Linked DNA regions of Drosophila melanogaster. The protein of the gene in region 3 purifies or fractionates together with the protein of the main gene of each other region. This does not show direct contact. Each region holds a gene or a part of one and is shown on either strand. Other genes may lie near its edges. The genes, in order: Rs1, CG9795, Vdup1 and mRpS22.

Region 1 (6,683 bases), on a different chromosome or scaffold from region 3:
CCTGCATCGTCTTGAGATCCCCAGCGACGACTGCATCGTAGAGCTTTTGCTCGGGATCCACGTAAGGAGCTGGTTTCGAGCGTTTCACCTATACAGAAATTACTCAAGTCACCCAAGGAACACCAGAAGGAACAGAACAAGGAACACATACCTTATCCGAGAAGTAGAATCCATCGTAGCTGCTATCAGAGTCGGAATCTGGGGGCGGTCCGTATTTGCAAAGGTTGCTCATCATACAGGTACTTATATAAACCTAATTTAGCAGTTTAAGCACACAACAATTGTGGCCAAATTCAGGAAAAAGGCGAAAGGAGGAAAATGGCAAACAAAACTAGTGAGGGGAGGCGAGGTTCTGAAAAAGTTTGCACAATCGATTTTTATCGATATCATGGCGCGCTTTTTAAACTAAGCTAAATTAAGATAACCGAAACTAATTTAAGCAATAGTAAATTTGCAGTTATATTAGAAAGTTTAACACTCTGATTATGCAGATTCGCAATTTTGTTTTGAGGTGTCATATGTTTAAAGCAAATTAAAAAAATTAAATGCCTTAAAGAAGAAAAAGTTTTATTTTACAAGTATACGATTTAACATAGCGTAGTTTGCAGCTCTACTTCTTTTTATCCTTCTTGGCGTGACGAGGTCCTCCGAAGTTCTTGCCCTTGTTGAACTTATTCTTTCCCGCCTTGTTTGTCAGCTTCACACTGCTCGCCTTTTTCTTAGCAGCGATCTTGGTCATCTTTTTGTGCCGATTGGCCTCGGACCTGGAAAAGGGTGTACAAAATTAGAACAACTATCAACGAAAAGCGAGAAAGAGCTACTCACCTTAGACGCAGAGCTCCGCCACGACTTACATCGGTCAAGTCGTTAGTAAATGCCGACTGACCGCCGCGTCGCTTGGGTTTGCCGTCGGAGGCACCGCTTCTGTGAACTTCGGTGGCGGCTCCTAGTTTGCCCGGACGTTTGCGCAGCTTGGCCATCTTGGCGCGCACAAGGGACACCTTCTCGATCTCCTTCATGGCTCGCTCTTTGGCCAGCTGCTCCGGTGTCTTCTTTCGAGGCTCCTCCTTCTTCTTCTTGTTGCGCTTTGCCTCGAGATCCTTGACCGGTGGTCCATCCTCGCCATCGCCTCCGTACTCGGGTCGCTTACGCTTTCCGGCCGTTTTTCCCTTACCCTTTCCACCAGATGCTTTATCCTCGTCGCCGGTTGTCAACGCTAAGCGATCCTTCTCCGCCTCGCGTTGCTGTTTCGTCTGGAACCAACCACGTCGCTCGTTGGTCTGTCCCAGCAGCTTTCGCTCCGTTTTGGAGAGCTGTTGCTCCGTTTTGGCTAGCTGCCGTTCAGCCTGCTCTTCGTCCAGAATGTTTTCTACAAAACAATACATTTACATCCGCAAATTAAGAAAATGTTACATTTATATAAACTTACGAATCTCTGGCTCCAAGCTTGTAAGTTTGTTGCGATATTTTTCAATAATCTCTGGCGGAATAATACGATTCTTAATGGTACTCTCCGCATTCTTGATAATGTCCTTAACGATCTTGCGCTCCTTTTCACCGGCCAGGGAAACGGATATACCAGCACGCCCAGCTCGAGCCGTACGACCCACTCGATGGATGTAGTGCTCTGTGGTGATGGGCATCACAAAGTTGATTACCGTTTTTACGCCCACAATATCGAGACCACGAGCAGCTACATCTGTGGCGATAAGCACATCAATCTGCTCCTCCTTGAACTTCTTGAGGGACTCCAGACGCTGTTGCTGGGTGAGATTGCCATGCAGTTCGCCGGCCCGGACGCCCAAGAGACCCAATAAAATGTGCAGTCGATGGGCCTGCTTTTTGGTTTGCACAAATACCATGCAATGATCATGGAACGTCCTGCAAATCAAACTAGCCAGAATGGGTTCACGGTCGCCCTCCTTATCCTCACGTATGCGAATAAATTCCTGACGCAGATTGAAGGCCACTTGCTGGTTGTTGTTGACGAACACCTTGATGGGCTTGTCCAGCGATACGGCGGCCAGATCTTTGACCTGCTCGCTCATTGTGGCGGAGAACAACATGGTCTGACGTGTCTTACAGCAGGAGTTGATGATCTCCTTCATCTGTTCGGCGAAGTACTCGTCCAGCATACGATCGGCCTCGTCCAGAATGAGAACCTGTTCGGGATATCAAAAGATATTTAAGTTATTCAGGTAAAGTAAACGTAGGAAACACAATGCCTGTGGAATCAGCTTGCATCTGCCGCGCAGAAGCAAGAACCAGGTTATCCTCTTAGCTCCGCAAAGAGCTCAGAGCGCAAGGATGGAGAATCATCAACTTAAATTCACCTCGATTTCTTACCTCAATGGAATCCAATGTAAAACTGGGCGTATTTTTAATGTGATCGATTAGACGACCTGGCGTTGCAATGACAATGTCGGGATTCTGGCGAAGTACTGCCTCCTGAGCCTTCACATCCAGACCACCAATTGCCAGACCCACATCAATAGTGGTGAACTGGCACAATTGCTTTGTCACCTGGTAAACCTGGGCGCCCAGCTCACGAGTGGGCACAAGAACCAGTACCCTGGTGATGGCCTTGTTGTTAAGAGGACGATACAGCAAACGTTCTAGAGTAGGCAACATATAAGCAGCAGTTTTGCCCGTTCCCGTGGCAGCACAGCCGCAGATATCGCGACCTAGCAAAGCCACAGGAATCGTAGAGGCCTGGATCGGCGTAGGATATATGTACCCCAGCACACCGATGGCACGCATCAGGGGACGTGAAAGGTTCATTTGGTAGAAGGAAGTGATCTGCTCGTTCGCCTCTACAGTGTCGGCGAACTGCATCTTCTCGCCCTCGTCCTCTTCATCCTCCTCTCCAGCCTTCTTCTTCTTTTTTTTGGATTCCTTCTTCTCCCTTAGCCGCAGGTTGTCATGCTTCAATTCGTCCTCGGAGAGATCTATCTCACTTCCATCGCTCTGCTCCGCGGCCACAGCTTCGGCGCCACCCCGCTTTTGCAGCCGGGCGGCGATCTTGTCGTCGGTCTTTGTGCGCGCCTTTCGCTTCACGTACTTCATCAGGTCGTCCCAAGTGTCCTGGTTGTACTCCTTCACTGAGGACACGAACTCGAAGCCCTTCTCAAACTCCGTCACCTTCTTGTGTCTCAGTTTTGTGGGTTGGTACTGCGGAGGCACTCGGAACTCAGTTTTGCTATCGTTTTTAAAAGTGTGAGCAACCTACCTCGACCTCCGCATCGGAGTCCTCCGACAAGTTCTCCACCTCGGCATCGTCTTCGATGGTGCCTATCAAGTCCAGGTTCTTGGTTGCACCCATTTTTGAAGCAAAGAACTATTCAAAACTCCACCAGCGCGTGTTTACAATTTAAAACACACGTGTGGCGTGTTAGAGATGGGCGAACCGGTGGTCAAATCATCGTTTGCAAGCGTGGGTGGAATTTGTGGAAATATTAGTTTGTTGCTCTTTTAATGTTAAGTAATTTCAAATAACCATAAACATAAGTTTACTAAGTAAAATCAACATATTATTTTCATCATAATTGATATTTTACTTTGTTTTTCAAGCCATCAATACATCACGAAATTGCGTGCCGGCGATAGCTCTCATCTCTAAATCGTCAGCTGTTTAACCAATTTTGTTATGAAATTTGCTTGAGTTTCCCATCGAAAATGCTGCGTTTGCTTACAAAAACAAGGGTGCTGCGGTGAGTTATTATAATGATACAATACCTAGTCAGCAGTAGTAACAATAGGCTCTCTTCGTAGCCAACTGATGCCAGCGACAGGCGCCACTCCACCTGCATCCCGCTTCTATGCGAAGAACCAAGGAGCAGCCAGCCAAAAATCGGATGACGACATGGTCAGCGATGAGCCCATCAAGTTTTTCGGCAGCCAGGCGGCCACTTGGCGCGCCAAGGACACCCGCAGTGGTGGCAGCGACGAGACCCTTTGGTACCAACCCTACGTAATCTCCGCCAGCCTGGCCATCTTCCTCCTGTACTTCTGTGCGCTGCGCGAGGAGAGCGACATCGATCTCCGGTTGGAGGGCAACTTGTACGAGCATGTCAGTGGTCTGGAGGAGGTGCAGCTGACTGTCAACTACAGGTACAACAAGGAACACGGACTGGACACCAAGGAGCAGGAGAGACGGCTCAGGGAACTGGGCGTTGATCTGGGCCAGTTGGATGCCAAGTTGGCCGCCCAGTAGTCGTAGGGTTGGTTTGTTGTACGTTTTTGTTTCGTTAAGTGAAATTAAACATTTTTAATAACTAGAAGATGTATGTTTCTACCAGGGTAAATTATTTATTAATCTTTTTTAATGGCTTGGTGATATTTGCAATCAATTTTTGGTTGTTTTTGTTTGTTTAACTGAAATTGAATATTATATTGGCTTCCTTGTTTAAATAACCCTTCATTTAAAGTAATTTAATGTAAAAATATAATATGAGATTTCTTAAATAGGATCGGCTAAAAATAATCATCAAAGTTATAGCTTTAGTCTTACAAATGCAAATCATTTTCCTTTGTATACCCCGATCACATAGATTAATATATTATATACTTGAGTACGGCATGTGCCCGCCTATTTTCTTTTTATCACGCGGCGCAGAAGCTGAAAAGGATTATAAACTATAGTATAAAAGTATAAGACTTAAAAATTTTTTATGAATTCGCGCCAATTTTTTTTACGTGGTCGGAGTGTGACCATACGGCAGCATCCTTGGTAATCGCGCCAGCTGATTGCTATCGATAGGAACAGCTGAGTTCGGTTAGCAGGTGTGCACACACTGTGTTTGCGATAAGAAACGCGCAGGAAAAGCAGAAAAAGGTAAACTGATCGTGACCGCTATAGCCATTGCCTGTGCGTTTCATGCACACATCCGTTGACCTACGGCCGGCCCCACCCCCAAAACCAGAATCCAGTGGAAGGCGGTAGACTCCGACAGCATGGTGAGTAGACAAAGAAGCCATATCGCCATTGGCCCCCGCCCATCGCAACCGACTGATTTGCACCCAATCACGCCCTTTCAGAGCTACGATGATGATGACTATCCGGCGGACACGTTCCCCAAGGACTTTGGCTACCGGGCCTACAACCAGGATGGCCTGGAACTGGAGCCCAATGCAACGGGCAGCAGCGAGACAAAGCCGCGCATTCTGCTGATGGGAATGCGCAGATCCGGCAAGAGCTCCATCCAAAAAGTGGTCTTCCACAAGATGTCGCCGAACGAGACGCTCTTCCTGGAGTCGACCAGTAAGATCGTGAAGGACGACATCAACAACTCCAGCTTTGTGCAGTTCCAGATCTGGGACTTCCCCGGCCAGATTGACTTCTTCGAGCCGACCTTTGATTCTGACATGATCTTTGGAGGCTGTGGAGCCCTGGTCTTTGTCATCGATGCCAAGGATGACTACAACGAGGCGCTGACCAAGTTCAAGAACACAGTGCTGCAGGCCTACAAAGTGAACAAGCGCATCAAGTTCGAGGTGTTTATACACAAGGTAATATCCATGAGTTGGGCGCTTATCGTGTTGATAACCCAGCGACACATGCTCTTTTCCCAGGTGGATGGAATTAGCGACGACTCGAAAATGGAATCGCAGCGGGACATACACCAGCGGTCGTCGGATGACCTTAACGAGGCTGGCCTCGATCAGATCCACCTGAGTTTCCATCTGACCTCCATATACGACCACTCCATCTTCGAGGCCTTCTCCAAGGTGGTGCAGAAGCTGATTCCCCAGCTTCCGACGCTGGAGAATCTGCTGAACATTTTTATACCAGTACACGAAACTTGCATTGTTGTTTTTGAACTACGCAGTTAATTCCTTATCCATTGCAGAACTCCGGAATAGAAAAAGCCTTTCTGTTCGATGTGGTTTCCAAAATTTACATAGCCACGGACTCGTCACCAGTCGATATGCAGACGTATGAGCTCTGCTGCGATATGATTGACGTGGTCATTGATCTGTCCAGCATATACAGGCAAGCTAACTAATTTCGATGTATTTGCTGCTTTGCCTAAATAACCATTGCTTTACCGCAGCTCCGAAGAAACCGCCTTTGACAGCGGGAGCTCTAGTCTCATCAAGTTAAACAACAACACGATACTCTACCTGCGGGAGGTGAACAAGTTCCTGGCCCTGGTCTGCATCCTGCGCGAGGAGAACTTCAACCGGCAGGGCGTCATCGACTACAATTTCATCTGTTTCCGCGACGCCATCAGCGAGGTATTCGAGCTGCGGCTAAAGCGCCAGAAGCAGCTGGAGAACAACGACCAGGACGACGATGATCTGGTCGATGAGCAGACCCTGATTCGCCATGGCCACGACGCAGGTGGAATTTCGCGAGCGCAGCCAATTAATTAGGCGCACTGCATCCCCAAGCGGAGAGCCCCTTTTATTGCCCCCCTACGCTAGCTTCTCTGTGGACTCTTTGATTCCAATTTGTACGTTCTCTTCCGTTAAATCTGATGTTACCTTTGTCTATTGATACGTTAGGACGCCACTCTCACAGAGCAGCGTAAAAAATTGCCCAGCGGTTGAAATTATTGATAATACTACCAATAAACATGTCTATTTTTAAATACGAGTGTGCTCTTGCCTAATTTATTTCCTTAATTTTTGTTACGTTACAGCGCACCAGTATAAAATAGCAAACAAAGATGTTAGGGATC
Region 2 (7,557 bases), on a different chromosome or scaffold from region 3:
TCTGCGCCGTCAGCGGATTAGCCTGGCTGATTCCCAGCCCGTATCCGCCAGGCTTCTCGCCCAGTTGGTGCTGTTGATGCCACCGCAGGCGCCTCAAGATGTCTTCCTCCGAGTCGGAGCTGGTGTTCTCGTAACGCCTTTTGCGGGCTGCGGGATACTTAAAAGTTAGCCAGTCAGCCCCAATCCCCACGAAACACGGTACTCACTGATCTTCTGCACACACTTGACTGCAAGGTGGCGCTCGTCGCAGCAGTTGATGGCATGGCGGTAGTGAAAACAGCACTTGCGACTGATGAAAAGAAACAACAGGAGCAGTAGAACGAGGACGCCGAAAAAGGCGCCCAGCAAAGTGGTCACCTCGATGGTGCCTGAAAGATTTAACAGTCACGGCTCAGGTCAGAATGGTGTGGTTTGTGGGGTGCATATACATTTTTACGTACCGAGCGTCGGAGTGCTATCCAGTCCAGAAGCGGAGGTAACAATCATCTTGGCTCATGCGAGGATCCTGGCGAACACGAGTCTACTACTCGCAACTCATTGCACCCGGACCACAAGTCAAGTCACTAAAAATTATTCTCACTGCAGCGTGAAAGCAAAAGCTCAGGAATTTGACAGCACAGCGTCGCAGGATAACTGGAATCGATTTTTCGCAAGACAACGACTAGGGATCAAAGCAAAAAAGTCGTTTGGAAGCTGGTGTACTCCGAATTACCCGTTTTTTTGGCCCTTCCGTATTTCGGAACCGTTCATCTGAGATTTGGTTGCAAAATCGTAAAACAAATTATAGAAGGAACAACTATACTGTTCTATCCTATTAATCACTTTCGATTTCTTGAAGGCACGATCCCAAAACTGCGAATCATGCAACGAGAGATTCAGAAATAAAAATCAAACGGCTCAGGATTTAATTCAACTGAATTAGGATGAGCTGCCTTAAACTCGATGGAAAAACTGCTTCAAAGCAAGCACTTTGGAGCTTAATCCCTCCACCCCCAGTGTGTGTACACACAGGGCTCGGAAAAGCTCCGTTTCGACAGTTGCATCGCAGTAACAACTGTTGCTTATTTTTTTGTGTTTGGGAGGATGATTTAAGCTGAAAACTTAGAAACGGGATTCTTTTTTATTGGTTGTGCTGTGCTGTGATTTCTTGAATTGTAATTGTTTAGAATGTCTCGAATAAAAATTCTCTCCGTGTCGTATGCATTCGAAGGTTTAAACGTTAGTCGTAGCCACGGTTTCATAAAATGTTAAGACCAAGACCGTTTGCCTGTTATTGATGTTCAAAAATTTGAACCAAATAATTAAGAAAAGCGGAATTAGTGCATCAGAATTAATGCACATTGTATGCTCCATTCAGGTAATTGTCCGGTTGTTTAAAAAAGAGCCTTATAATTTAGGTCAAAATTTTTAGAGCTACTCATGCTTACATACATGAAATGCGCTGTTATTCGATAGCAGATAACACTCCGAGCAGCAGGTATCGATAATCGCAACAATCGCTGTTCCAGCGAAAGTCATCGCTTTGACGGCACATCGCAGATTGCCCACCTCTAAAATAAATGCCTAATGAATTGGCTCAGTTCCGTTGTGCGCTTAATTTTTTGTCGCTGCTCAAACTGAATGTTTCCGCCTGTCAGAACACCGTATGCAAAACCGTGACCGCGCCCACGCCGTGCTTGAAAGTCCAATACATTTAATCCGCAATTGTGACGCAAGTAAATTTTGGATGGCCAATGCCACTGGGCAAGTGTGAGTGCCGTGTGTGCCAAATTCCGCTGAGACGCTTCTGATAATATGATTATGGCTAAACAGCTAAATATAGTGCTCAGTGCCCCCCACAAAGCGGAATACCGCGGTGGTACCGTGATACCACCTCCTTGGCGTCGATTACTTCGTTTCTTTATTGCTGGTGGAGCTAGCAGGAGGAAGAAAGCCAGTCTACGACGTCATCTTATGTCGTTTCGCTTTTCATTTCGCAGCAGTCACTCGCACACAATGAAAATCGAGAGGGTGGGATGGGGGTGGAACAGGGATTTGAAAACTCGATTTCCCGTACCAAGAGCCCAGACCAGAGTTGAGCGCGTGTCAAAACTTTTCGACACAAAGCAGCACGAAGCCGAACTGGAATCTGGCAAAGTGCAGTCTAAATACATATAATATAACGCTTTTGTATGAAAATAAAAGTTTGTCTAACCTTGAATCTAACAACCAAGGCATTTTTCGTTAGGTATATATGTGTACTTCCAAATATATAAAATATCCTCGCAGAGCTTCTAGAAAATATTCTATTGTAAGCAAGTTTTTGCAGTGGACCAGTGAGCAATGGCGTGGGAATCCCAGCTGTAGATGCTTGGAATTTCTACAAAAACTTACAATGTCGTTTCCCGGTCTTTTGAGCTTTTAAGCTAGTATTCAACTTTCAAGTCAACTCCATTTCTGTCAATCCTAATTTCTTCATACCCTTGCAGAATGTATATTAATTTCAGTTAGAAGGTTTTAACGCAGTGGTGGAGATATTTGCGACCATATCAAGTATATCTATTCCTGATCAATATCGCCAGCCAAGTCAATATCTAATTCACATTTTTTGCCAGGGTTTAAATATTTGCTACAATATAGCTCAAGCAATCGAAGTACATATGTATGTATAGTGCTCTTCGATTGGGTCAACAAACCAAGCGACTCGCTCTTCCAGCTCTTTGTCGCCGTGTGCATTTAGTCATTGATCGCGGGAAGGAGTCGCTGTGGGCCATGTCACCATCTCCATTGACAACGCAGCCTTTCTTTATTGGTGTCATTAAAATTTGTTAAATGGAAAGGTCATTAGACACAGCGGTGAAACCGGTTTGGTTTGGCGGCTTAATTTTCGGTTAACTCGACTGCATAGATTACGCACCAGCCACTTCAATTGGCTGCCAAATACCTTATGCTTATTGGTATGTCTTCACTTGCAGTATGTATATTTGCTGGCAACCACCCACCAACAAAAAAAAACTTGACCCAAAAGCGGCGAATGTTTATTTTCTCTTTATACTTGACTGACGTTCATCTTGGTGGCCAGAGTTTACTGCCAATGTCGTTCTTAGTCAGTTAAAGTGGGAGTAGATACAATTATCTTGAATCCAAGCTACCGCCTATTTTCATCCCGAACGTATTACTAGATGTTACATACTAATAGAAACAACGCTTAAAACTGGTAAATAGGTTTTTTAGTTGAACTATCAATCGTATTGTAAACTGTTAAACCTCATTGACAATTTTATAGACACAAAACGCTGATTTAGGGCTACCGCTGGAAAATTCTATTATCTGTTAGTGAATTCGTCTAAATTCATTTGTAGATCAATAAGTGAATAAATGTTTATTGTTCGTCAATTAAGTGCCATTCCACTGGTCTGTGCCTGCATACATTTAAATGTTTTTACATTGTATATTCTGCAACCACAGCACAGTTTGTGACGGTGGTCGTGCAAGTGTTTGGAGAAATCGTACGGCTGTTTCCAGGGATTGCATACGTAACTTGAGGATTTTTCTTGCTGTTTCACTTCTGTTTATTGTCTCCCCCAAGTGCACTAGGTACAAACATCGAGTCTTTCGTGGGTTAATTTCTGTGTGCTTCCAGTTTTTATGGTCCACTGCGGAATCGCACGAATGAAAAACCTCGCTTAACAATACTTAACTATCCGTATTTTTTCTATTTCAGAAGCAACATGAGCGTTTTGCGGGAGGAAACGACAACTTCCAGCCAGAGGGAGATAAGCACAAACGGCGGTGGGTTGGATTTCCCCGCAGAAGTGACGTCGCTGATTGCTGGCAACAGCTTTTGCTTAACGCCAGGAAATAACGGCGGGATCGGTGCCCAGAAAAAGGTCACTACTGGAGCGGGTCTGAACAGTACACAGAGAGGTGAGCGAGATCATCGTCCGAAATATTGAATATCCGTTAATCTAGGTTGTTTATAAAGTCTATTTTAAAGAACTTGGTATTATAAACTCAAAATTCACATTAAATTCCAAATCAGTGAGTGAAATGTTAAATAAATACAAAACACAATAATAAATCAATTAGGTTAATTTTGTACATTACGCCTTTTATAATTCCCTGCAAAGTTAAGAAACCTCTAAGTTTCTTCTGTGTTGTACTAATTTTGATATAATAAACATGTTATATTGCATTTTTTGATCTTAAGGTTCCTTTTATTTTTAGCCACTATAATTACGAAAAGATTTAATCTATTCAAACTGACTGATTTCACGGTCAGTAATCGACTTAATTTTATTTGTTACGATGCCTTTGTCCGAGATATATCATTGAAATAACGGAAACTATTTACCTAACTCCCGAATTATATAAGGTGGGCAAAATATATACTGTTTGTTTAAAATTAATATTACAGTATAAAGTACATATGTATATTAAGTAAGTATATGAGTATACATACATCTGATTAAAAAGTTGAAAATGTTCAATAGTGTGGGCGTGGCAGTTTTAATCAATAGAAATTAACAATATATACAGTCAAATGACAACAAATTAGGGGTGGGAGTGTCAGCTTTGGTTAGTTGCAAAACAAGCTTGCTTCTTATTATGAAATTTATAGTATCCGAGACCTCGACGGACATACGGACATTGATAGATCGACTCGGCTAGTGATCCTAATCCAGAATATGTATATTTTCAAGGTTCGGTGACAATCCCTCAACATTTAGAAGCATTTCTGAGTAATTTCCTTGCTCTCCTTACTGGCCGTTTATCGAAAGGGGCATCGAGTTTGCTCAATCTATAAAAACCAAGTATTTGCTTGACTTAAAGAAAACCGTTTGGTTTTAACAATTGAAAAACGAACCAAAATAGTCTTAAAATTGCTTCAAATTGCCCCAGACGTTTTTCTGGGCTAAAGTAACTTAGACAACTCTAGTTTAGCCGCCGAGTTGAGCGTTACGTCCGGAATTGTTGAATTCGTGTAATAGTTTTCACTTTGTCAATGCTGGAAGTGAAAGCCGTGAAGCCTTTAGCTACGTAATCTGTCCACACTAGGACCTGCACTATTGAAATTGTCAAGATGACCTCAAATTAAATTCTCCTTCAGCTACGGATGCCACCAAGCGCAAGAAACTAAGGTCGCGTAACGTACCACCTTCCCCATTGGCCCAAAAAACTGAAGCAGCGGCGACCTCTCTTAACCAAACGAACATCGGTGAGGTCAAGAGAACCGATATTAACTATTCCAACGATCACCTTGATGCCTGGTTGGAGAGCTGTTTACGTGATGCCACCAACGCCCAATTGTCTTCTTCATCTGAGTTTTTGGACTTCATACCGCCCACAGCACCAGCTCATAAGCAAATGTTTTTGACTCAACAGCAGCAGCTGCCGCAGCTTAAACAGCAACTACAGCAGCAGAGGCAACAGGAATTTTCGAAGCGAACCCAGCCTTACGGAGTGGGTCCAGGCACACCGTTTAGCCTGGGGATACAGCGCGTGAGTAGTTGCTATTGCAAGATATTTTGTACAACGCACACCCAACTTTATTTTATTTTTACAGAATTCGAACTCTCTTAGCCATCGATATCCGATGCTCTTCCCACCCCAGAGCCTTAACAGCTATGGTGATGGTGGCCAGGAGTTTGCAAGCTTGCCTCCCCTGAACAACATGATGGGAGGGCCGGAAGGGCTTGGGTGCGATCAGGAACCGAATTCGACGGATGTGCTGGATGGCAGCGAAAGCAATCCCAACTTTACCAAGGGGTAAGCAAAAACAATAAATTCGTAATGAATTATTAAAGAGCCGTACTTACCGTGTGATAACAGATTTCGGTTCAGCGATCCGTGCCTACTGAACCCCTCCGATAATGACTCTAAGCTGAGTGGCCAGAATACACCAGAGTGTCGAAATGTGAACAACAATGGCAGTGGCTGTGATCTGGCACATCAAAACAAATTTTTCGCGGCTCTAATGGAACAAATAAACATATTGCACGACACCAATTCCAAGATCTGCCGGAATTTGCATAATACAAAAGGTGTGTGGTTTGTAGGATTGTGTCCAGTTTAGATGTCACGATGCTTCCCAAATTACGACAAAATTACACAAATCTCTGATTTATTTTACTTGTACTCGTATGCTAATTAGAATGTGTTGCCACCCATTTCCTCTTTCTATGTACTCCCTTGCACTTGCAAACACAATCATAGTTGATATCGAAGCTTTAAAGCACTCCCCTAATAGCCAGCACTGGGCAGGTGTAGGCTTTGGGGGCATGCGGCACCGTAGAGATAGCTTAAGCGGGCTAAGCACACAAAGTCAACCTCTTATTCTTGGCAGTGGATTGGGAGGGACACACAGCCCAGCGCCCACATTTCACTCAGGTATAACATAAACGCTACCCCCAACTATGCCATGCAAAGGAGTGAGTAATAAGTTATATTCGCTTCCCATTTTTCAGGCGCCTACACTCCAGGAATGATGACGGATGTCGTGCGGGAAGTGAAGGAGGCAGCGCGCATACGCGAAGATGCACTGCTAAGTCGGTAAGAAGTCGAAAATTAAAAAGTATATTTAGAGTGTTGATTACATTTTGTTCTCAGAGTAAAATTAATGGTTGAAGAACGTCAGTGTTCCTTAAACGAGGGAAATGTCCGAATTCTGAGAGATATAGACGATCTAAAGGTGAGTGCTAAAATAAATGTGCATAAAAAGCTAAAAGCTAAAAATTCGATTTCGGTTGTAGACCCAAGTAATGCAGTTGCGACTGGAGAAAAAGGAGACTAACAAACGCCTCTCACATCTGGAATCCGAAAACAAGTGCCTTCGTCAAGCTCTGGCCGGTTGTTATAACCAGCGGCCAATCAGTAACGACATTATTTACGAAAATGACCGATCCCATGGATTCCGAAAGCCATTTCCGAATGGGGGTGGCGGCGGAGTTGTGGGTTCCGGTGCCCTCGGAATACGACGGGCAAAATCTTTAAACCTTCATTATGGAACAATGCATCAAACGCCTATCCAAACGACACACTCTTTGGAAGAGGACGACGAAATAGAAGAGGAGCAGTTAGTAGAGCAAGTAGGACTGGACGGAGAAGAATTATCCCTGACTGGCAACAACAGTTTATCGTGTTTGAACATCGGTCATCAATCTCCCTCCAACTTAACGCCTCACTCACAGATACCTAAATCAGAAAAGCAAGCAGTTAGAAGCCCTCCCTCTTTTGCGCTGGCTTCTGACCAGATCAATCCGGGAATTCCACCGCCATTGCTACCACGAAAGAAGGACCACGCTCATCTAAAGCGGGAGCGCAGCGAGGCGGCCTCCGTACGTAAGGAGACAAATCAACGTATAATTGCGTGGGTGTAGTATATGCTCTGTTCTACATTTTTAAACTAACCCATCACCGTTAACTTTCACTTGCATGGACGTTTTAAATATACGTTTAGTCACATTCTACTAATCATTTTAATCACTATCTGAGCTTGGTAACTAATCCTAAAACTTACAAATTGTACACTTCCTTTTTATCTTTCAATGGTTATTTATACTGGGCAACATTATAGCC
Region 3 (4,507 bases):
GGAAGCAGTGACATGTCCGCAATATTTGGCTCCAGTTCGCCATAGTAATCCCGGTAGTGGCTGTGTGCACCCTGTGCTCGTTGCTGGCACACTTGTCCGGAAATGGACGGCATATCCGGGGCCTTCCGGTCGAGCTTTTGGCAGCCACAGTCGCTGGATACGTCATTGAATAAAACTATCCAAATAAAGAGGACTAATATAATTGTTGTCATCTTAACGTGCAGTGTGGCCCTTTTTAGTTTTGGAATCAATACTTAATTTCGCGAATTTAAATTCCGAACAAGCCAGCTTTTTAATAGCATACTTTAGGCTGTAACGTTTTAAACAATTTATTTCAATTTCAACAACCATACTTTTGGGATTATTATTATTATTATAACCATTTAGTAGTAGTTAGAAGGTTAATGAGTGCAGTTTTACCATTTTAATAATATATAACCTACAATATTTAGGTTTTATAAAAAGTTATGTATATGAGCTAATTATAATTTATCAAAGTCTGGTCTTTATGTTAACTTTCGTTTGTATTTGTTATAAATTCTTCAATCATGAACAAATTTTTGGGAACGGAAGACCTACAAATGCAAAGACCAGAAACATTAAAAAACGTTAAGTATAAGTTAAATAAGTTTAAATTGTTGTATGGCGCAAATCGGTCTTAACAAGTTGTGATACACAGCAATCCTAAAAGCTGCGGGCTATGCCTCGATAGGCTTCTCGTGCAGCCAGGGCCGGAATATGGGTAGTGTGGACGGATAGTGGGTGTGCGTGTCCGGCTTAAGCACCGATTCCGGCCAGGTGTTGGCATTGACCGCATCACCGGAGTGTCGAAAGGGGTACGTCGCAAGCACGATAGGAAGCTGTAGCTTAATCTCCTTCTCCATGGACTTGGGTTCGATCACGAAGAAGACGTCGTAGGATATTTTGATCAGGTGGCAGCCATGAAGATTGGTCGGCGGCAGGGGTGGAACGTAAAGCTCGTTGTGCCACTCGTCTTTGGCCCCCGGACGGATCTTGCCACGAACTAAAACAGCCAGCTCCCGTTTTTCCGTTTGCACCACCTTCCCCCGCGCCAAATACTCGATGGTCTAAATAAAATCCAAATAAGATCAAAATGGATGAATTGTAACTAGCCACTTGAAAGCGATACCGACCTCAGTGAGGGATGCCTTAGTCCGTTTAATGGACACATTACTGTAGTTGGATATAAATGCGGTGACCAGAATATTCTCGCCGGGCACATACCCACCGCGATCAAGGGACACTCTGCACTTTATCTGACCTCCACCAACACAGACGACGCCTAGCTTGTGCTCAACTTCGCAGGTGAACGGTTGCTGAGTCAGGCGAAAGGTTAGTTTTTTTAAACAGGGTTTTTAAAGCTACTTACTGCTAAGATGGGCTTTTCAAGGTTTAGGTCGATGGGATTCATCACAATGAAGACCTGGTGGTTCTTATGGATAATGCCATTGTTCTCGCGGAGCGCCGCCTTGCAGTAGAACTGAATCCAGCCGTACCGACCGAGAAATGTAGATGGAAGACCCAGTGGCAAGCCGAGTTTGAAGGGGAAGCTGTGAATTCCTGGCGAGAGTATAGCTGGACCTCCTTGGTCTACGTCCCCCAGAAGTCGCATCCGAAAGTCGATATAGTTCTCCTTATCGTATGTCCGCTCCTGTCGCCGCCCGTTGCGCACGACCCCTTCGCCTACCACATGGAAATGAAGTCCCAAAGCAGGCGTCTCATCCTGCAATTCGATTAGAACCCGTCCGGAGAGAAACTGGCCCGGGAAGTACAGGAGGGAAGTGTTGTCGAAGATGATAAGGAATTTAAGCAACTTGCGCGGCATCGTGCCTCTGTTTTGTTGCCGATTTCATTCGTACGCCTAAGGAAAAACCAACGAAATTCGTTAGAACACGGTTGCCAAATATTTGACCCGCTCCGCACGCGTCATTATGGTTAATGACAACTTATCCGTCATAGCTGGCTAGGTCTGAGACCATGTACTACGGACTACGGTCTCACATACATACGGCGCTTGTTTGCATATTTATGTGGGTAGCATCTAGGCGGGCAAAGGAAACAAAACCAGTTTCGTACGGCCAAGAGATGGCTGCGTGCACAACTATGCAGCACGAAAGCCCCGAACACTTAAGCATCAACTGCAAGGTCGGCGCATGAAGCATGTCGGGCGTGTCACGCCCGCGCCTACAAATTTGGGCAAAACTCCAGTATGTACATCTTTACCAAAAGCGTAAGCTGCAACTGCGACTGTCGGCAAGCCTGTTTGGTGCACTGGTGACAATGTTGATGATTCCTGATTGGGAAACAGAAACCGAAAAGAAAACTGACGTAATTTCCTAGTGGAAAGCGGATTCCCAACCGTACACTGCCATTGGAATGATTACATTCAAATTGTTCAACATTTTTGTTTTTATCCACAACAGATCAATTGTTTTCTCTTCATCCCTGTGGGCGCACTTGAAATAATGATCGCTTTTCAAATACCTGTACACACAAAGGTGTTTTTTGGCCAGATCGGAACACCAGTCCAAACCGAACCGATTTAACCCGTTCTGCCTTTGAGCGATATTCGTTTGGCAAGATCTCGTCCACGCTCTCGAGCGTTTGTTTGGCAACTGATCACCGTCGTCGTCATCGTCGTCGTCGTTATGCATCAGTTTGCGGACGAGAGCTCGACTGAAAAACTTGTTTTGAGCGCGTTTTTGCGAGGGATCGTTTGAGAGAGGCCCAGCCGGAGCCAGCTGATGTCGTAATGCCAATAAGTAGCCCGCTTTTGTTTTTACTATCTTTTGCATTCATGTAATACATGGCTGAATTTACCTTTCCAGCGGGCTTACAGGATACGCAAAGCGCGTATCTTCTTGAATAAATTCAAACGGAAAAAACTGGAACGGCACCACAGACAACAGAAGACCAAACGAGCATGAGAACCAAATTGTCACCTCAACGGTTAGCTAAGCTGTTCAAACTGAATCGATTATAGGAGCAATTTGCTAATAATATGGCAATGCTCGCAGAGTCGCCCCGCTATAGCTCAGCAGGTGTATCTTGTGTTACTCGGTTGCACCTAGAAAATAAATCTGTATTTCCAACACCAAGCCCATATTTTACAGGTATTTATCCATAGTCGACAAATCGTGTGCAGACTAAAATGGATAAAGTGGCACACATTTATGCATTATGCATGCATTTAATACCGGTTATTTGTTGTTTTAAGGTACCCAAATCGAAGAACCTCAACTGTAGCTCATGAAAATGAAAGGCCAAAAGCCAAGCAAACTATCACTGGCTGCGAAAACCGAATCGGTGAATGGCTCGGCAGCCTGTGGCAAGCTGTGGCAAGCTATGGCTATACCCTGAAAATTAGTCAAAAAATGAGTCCTGTGGCAGATACCTTGAAAACTTTATTAAAAGGAATCTGTAGGTTATCCTTATGATCGACAAAGTATAAGATAATATTAGAAAGAGTAGAGATGCAACGATGGTCAAACTATATATGGACTGAAGAAATCAATCGTTTTGAAGACTATGCTGGCTATAAGAGAAAACAAATCACTTTCGTATTTAACTTTTCCAGCTTTTCATATTTCTTCCAACGGCATTAGTGACATTTAGTAGCAATGGCTAGGCTATAGTTTTCCATTTCAATGTTTCTCGGCTTAATTGCTGGGAGTTGTTGTTTTATAATGACCCAAGTCTTTACCGCGAAGAGAGATTTCAACGAGACTCCAAAGATTTCCCGTTTGTGGCCTCGACGTATAGAGTATCTGAAAATTAGGTTGTTTCGAATAGAGACGTCTATACTAGTTTGGTTCAAAATGATAATCGCTTGAGCTCGAAGTTTCGTGGAGCCCACAACTAAGTATTCTTGAGTTAAAGTCAGTGTGGTTTCAAAGCTGCTCCGCGCACCACCGAACCGATCTCCGAATCTCAGCTCTGTTTATCATTTTTCTGAAAGTCCGGCGCTGAGGAACCTATAGTAAGCCTATCTCCATCTCTTATAATAATAGCGAAAGCCAGACGTGAAGGCAGAGAATATCTTGGTGTAACATCAATCACCAAGGGGGAGTGGCTGGTCCACTCCATAAACTTACCAACGATACCGTAAAGTCTCAAAGAGAAAAACAAGAGGTGTAGCAGAGCTACACCTGCAAAACTTTCTCATGCCCAACTGGCTGGGCGCATTGGCCACTGTTTTCGTTGCTCTTGCCTTGTTTCACCTCTCTGGCACGCTCTCCCTTAAATCGAGCTGCTTCTATGTCCGACTTGGGGCAGTGGCTCAGTTGTGGCGAAGATACCGAGCGCGCTGGTAAGGCACGGTTCGCATCGAAAACTTTAAACTGTCTTCGGTCGGGCCAGTGGAACGCGAGAAAGTTAAAATTGTAACAATAAAGACACTCATAATAGCGCTCCGTGAGTAACTTAGTGTTTACATGAAGAAGGCTGATTCTAGTTCATCACTGGTCCAATCGAAGCGCCATACACA
Region 4 (3,666 bases), on a different chromosome or scaffold from region 3:
TGCGCGGTGTGCGGCGATGTGGCCAAAACCTTGCTGGAGCACCAGAGCCACATGACCGCGCACTATGGACCTGGTGCTCTGTGCTTTCGCTGTGGTCAGCGTCTGGACCACCAGAAACAATTGAAGCAACACAGTCTGAGCTGTCCCGCTCTAGCGCCCAGGAAGTCATCGATGCTCTTTAAATGCCCACATCTACTCTGCAACGCCATGAGCCACTCAGAGATGCAGTTGCTCAGGCACCTGAGAAACCATAGCGGCAGGAAGTGCTACAGATGTCTTCAGTGCAAACGTTACTTCAAGACCACCACCTCTCTTTTGGTACACCGAAAAAAAGAACAGAGTTGTGCCAAGGCGAAAGTGGTCGTCCTATTTCGCGAACACAACGGGTTGCCCAATGGAAGAGGTGATCCCAGACGTTGCTCAGTTTGCTTGAAGCGTTTCAGCAGCGAGCGGGTATGCCTGCGGCACCGGAGACAGTGCATCCTTGGCCATTTTAGACGGCTGTCCAGGGTCCTCAAGAAGGAGCTATGAACAGCGTATAGAAATCTTGACCTAGCTGGTATTTATTAGTACATAGAAATCGATAACAATAAAGCGAATAGATCCTACGAAGCCTGGACGCCGTGAGCCTTTTTCAGTCCCTGGAACAGCATCAGTTTCTCCCGGTTAACTTCCTTAAGCGTCTGCACCGCCAGCTCCAGTTGCACCTTCTTCAGCGCATGTTCGCTGGCGATGTACTGCTCAATGAACTTCAGGCTGATCTCATCGGCGGCGAAATCGTGCTCCGTCTTGCCAATGGCCGTATGGATCTCCTGCTCAATGTTCTGCTTATTGTCATGTCGTCGGAAGACGCTTCTTAGCTCCGCCAGGGCACTTTCCGCCGGCGTGGCATGCAGTTTGCCCAGTTCGGTCAGCGTTGCCTGATACTCCACTGGGATGTTGTGTAGCTTGTAGCTCAGAGCAATCAGCTCCACGGCATTGTGCAGATAATCCCGACGGATCATGTCATACAGCAGGTCGTCGATGCAGCGGTGCCAAGCGTAGAAGAAGGCCATGGGTCCAAAGTGGCGGGTGGAGCGCAGAAGATCGAACTCCTTGGACTCGTTGAGATGCTCGAACACACGCGCTGAAATGTTGTGGAACTCCGGCTCATGTGGCTCGTACTGCACCAAGAGTCGATCCAGGATGAACTCGTACTTGTGCTCCGCCAAGCACTTGGCCAGCAGCTCCTCCAGCGCGAACATTCGTGGAGTATATGACTGGCGACCCTCCAGCGGGAAATACAACTGGTTCATGCGCTTCGTGGTATCAAGAGTGGCGTAGGCCAAGGTTCCGTCCATATCCCGGACGATTACCTTGCGTTCCGACTGCCGTCGGCCGAAGGTGATGTCCGTGAATACGAACTTGGAGTTGGCGAAGTCCTTCAGCGCCGTATCCTTGGCTATCACCCGCTCCACATCTTTTTTGATCTGCACAATGGGTGGCATTTGCAGAATTTGCTGAGCCCGCACCACCAAGTTCTGGAACTCGTTGTCCAGCTGCTCGTTGCTCATGAACTTCGTTTCGCTGCTGTTGTCCGGCACCGTGCGCTTCCGATACACCTTGTCCAAGTTCAGTTGCGTCATGGACTGGAGCAGCCGCTGGGTTTCGGCATCCGTGAAAAGCGGCTGCGGATCGCGCTCGTACTGCAGGGCGGCGGGCTTGGTGGGCGCCGAGGACACCTGCCGGATAGCTTGGCGCACTCCTTGGAGGCCATTCAGCTGGCGCAGGCTCCGCAGCAGGTGCATTTTCAGTCAGTAAATCAGGCACAAAAATACACGAGACGGGTGTAGAAATTAGTGAGGGCAGCACGGTGTTTTCCAACACTGCTTGCTAGTAATGACAACAGGAATCTTATTTAATTTAATGTGTTTATTCTATTTGTATAATAACTTTTTTAATGCACATGCACATGCGTAATGCGCCTTATTTTTAAATTTCATTCATAATATGCAATATTTGTTTGAAATAGGAAAATAGCAAAATAGGCAACTTTATTATCTACATAAGAATTAAACGATTATTAACTACTTGTTATTGTTCCCATTTTACCAGACGACTCAATTGTATAACTATGAGCAGCTAGTGCCACCGCCTTTAGTATCAAATCGTAATAATCAAGAAAAAAAATAATATAATAATAAAAACGACATTAAAAATTACCGGGAAATTCGGAAGCCAGTTTCATCTCTTCGACATAGGAATACCCCTACTAGCGGCTTATCTCGGGATCTGACTGCGGTCACACTTGACCAATTGCATTTAGCTGGAAAAAAAGCTGCTGGCGAAAATTGGCAATAAAGTGCAGGAGCAGCCCAAGCATGGAACAGGCCGAATTGGGCAGTACGTGCCTTGCAGCGCCTAAGCGCCGCTTCCCGGACAACGAACGTTGTGGGCGGGAGCTGGCCGCCGTGCCCGTGCAGCCAGTGCTGCCACAAATCCCTACCGAGGAGGAGCCGGAGATAAAACAGCGCAAAAGGGAGAAGGAGCATAAGGAATCCCTCGACCGGGAAACGGAGTGCAACCTCATGGACTTCTGTGATGAGCTGCTCTTCGAGATCTTCCAGTACCTGGACACGTCCTCCATTCTGGCGGTGATGCAGTAAGTAGTCCGCTATCAACAAAGATCTCTGCGTCGCTGAGATTTCCATGTCCTTTCCATATTATAACATTCCGTAATATTCCAGTTGCTCGCCGCGCTTTGAAAACCTCCTGCTGGATCACCGCTTCTATCATCACATAGACTTAAGCAACGGGCCCCTGCCTATGGGCATCCTAGAAGAGATTCTTGGACGAGCCACCGAAAAGACACACACCATTAAAATCTGCGGACCTCCGTCCTCGCAGCATGTTGCAGGCGAATTCCGCCAGTTCACCCAAACGCTAAGCTCCGTTTTCCCCAGGGTTGTACAGCTTAAAGTGCTGGAGCTGGAGGGCGTCAGCCTGGACTTCGAATACGTGAGTGCTGGCATCTCGCAAGTTTCCCTGGTCTACCCCAATTTTATCTTTTCTTCAGATACACATAACTGAGTTCCCGGCCACTCTGAGGCGTCTGAAGCTAAAGGACTGTAGCGTTAGGGTCGGCGACACGCCAAAAAGCATATTTTACTCCATAGAGCTGCATCTGCTTGATCTAGAGGTGAGTTTGAGCGAACGACAGTCCAATGAATAGCCTAACCCCGTCTTATTTAGGATCTCAGTATTGAGGACAACAGCTGGTTCGAGCCCTATTATATTATGGGCCTGTCGAAGTTACCTTCCTTGCGGCGTCTTAGTCTTAAGGGCTGTCAGGCGCTATGCAAGTTTGTGCCCTATGGCAGCATGGCGGCACGTTTCGGTTTCCAAAAACTAGAGGTTGGCATAGGTGCAATCGGCGAATATTCTTTATAAAGGGTTATTTATTTCAGTCACTAGATCTTCGCCAGACGCCCATCAACAACTCAGATCTGCAGTGTTTTAGCGCTATCGAGAATCTCAAGGAACTGCTGCTTGAGTCGCCACAGATCCTGCACTCCAAACAAGCCGTTGCTAAAAAAAATACCAACGGCAACGCCACTGACGAAGCTGCTTCCCCGCAGCCTGATTCACTGAAAGTGCTTAGCGATGACGAGCCGTCCACATCGCGGG

Evidence for each region.
Region 1: the proteins of Vdup1 (region 3) and Rs1 purify together in Drosophila melanogaster (affinity purification with mass spectrometry, with the first as the bait; one large-scale study listed by BioGRID). This does not show direct contact.
Region 2: the proteins of Vdup1 (region 3) and CG9795 purify together in Drosophila melanogaster (affinity purification with mass spectrometry, with the first as the bait; one large-scale study listed by BioGRID). This does not show direct contact.
Region 4: the proteins of Vdup1 (region 3) and mRpS22 purify together in Drosophila melanogaster (affinity purification with mass spectrometry, with the first as the bait; one large-scale study listed by BioGRID). This does not show direct contact.

What each region holds. Positions count from the first base shown.
Region 1 is NT_033778.4:8,161,595-8,168,277, reverse strand, and holds Rs1 (Rs1), read right to left. Parts: upstream 4,715-6,683; 5' UTR 4,511-4,714; intron 4,279-4,510; exon of another isoform or gene 4,214-4,278; coding exon of another isoform or gene 3,772-4,213; intron 3,711-3,771; coding exon of another isoform or gene 3,676-3,710; exon of another isoform or gene 3,571-3,675; intron 3,482-3,570; exon of another isoform or gene 3,409-3,481; intron 3,399-3,408; exon of another isoform or gene 3,338-3,398; 5' UTR 3,323-3,337; coding exon 3,230-3,322; intron 3,172-3,229; coding exon 2,347-3,171; intron 2,329-2,346; exon of another isoform or gene 2,230-2,328; intron 2,163-2,229; coding exon 1,430-2,162; intron 1,370-1,429; coding exon 826-1,369; intron 765-825; coding exon 611-764; 3' UTR 509-610; downstream 1-508. Other genes in the region: gasz, read right to left, coding at 1-88, 152-235; CG30373 (uncharacterized protein), read left to right, coding at 3,676-3,710, 3,772-4,213; RagC-D (Ras-related GTP binding C/D), read left to right, coding at 4,954-4,956, 5,038-5,508, 5,572-5,790, 5,850-5,992, 6,054-6,375.
Region 2 is NT_033777.3:4,318,142-4,325,698, forward strand, and holds the start of CG9795 (uncharacterized protein), read left to right. Parts: upstream 1-1,541; 5' UTR 1,542-1,645; coding exon 1,646-1,749; intron 1,750-3,703; coding exon 3,704-3,906; intron 3,907-4,206; exon of another isoform or gene 4,207-4,354; intron 4,355-5,089; coding exon 5,090-5,481; intron 5,482-5,545; coding exon 5,546-5,748; intron 5,749-5,811; coding exon 5,812-6,023; intron 6,024-6,195; coding exon 6,196-6,369; intron 6,370-6,446; coding exon 6,447-6,531; intron 6,532-6,588; coding exon 6,589-6,670; intron 6,671-6,731; coding exon 6,732-7,348; coding exon of another isoform or gene 7,349-7,358; exon of another isoform or gene 7,359-7,555; coding exon 7,556-7,557. Other genes in the region: Syt14 (synaptotagmin 14), read right to left, coding at 1-147, 207-368, 441-486.
Region 3 is NT_037436.4:175,992-180,498, forward strand, and holds Vdup1 (vitamin D[[3]] up-regulated protein 1), read right to left. Parts: upstream 2,973-4,507; 5' UTR 2,842-2,972; intron 2,645-2,841; exon of another isoform or gene 2,506-2,644; intron 2,315-2,505; exon of another isoform or gene 1,883-2,314; 5' UTR 1,847-1,882; coding exon 1,391-1,846; intron 1,338-1,390; coding exon 1,155-1,337; intron 1,089-1,154; coding exon 699-1,088; 3' UTR 511-698; downstream 1-510. Other genes in the region: CG7049 (uncharacterized protein), read right to left, coding at 1-212.
Region 4 is NT_033777.3:27,915,123-27,918,788, reverse strand, and holds mRpS22 (mitochondrial ribosomal protein S22), read right to left. Parts: upstream 1,882-3,666; 5' UTR 1,788-1,881; coding exon 606-1,787; 3' UTR 541-605; downstream 1-540. Other genes in the region: Boh1 (buddy of Hmr 1), read left to right, coding at 1-531; CG5003 (uncharacterized protein), read left to right, coding at 2,361-2,641, 2,727-2,997, 3,056-3,178, 3,232-3,393, 3,447-3,666.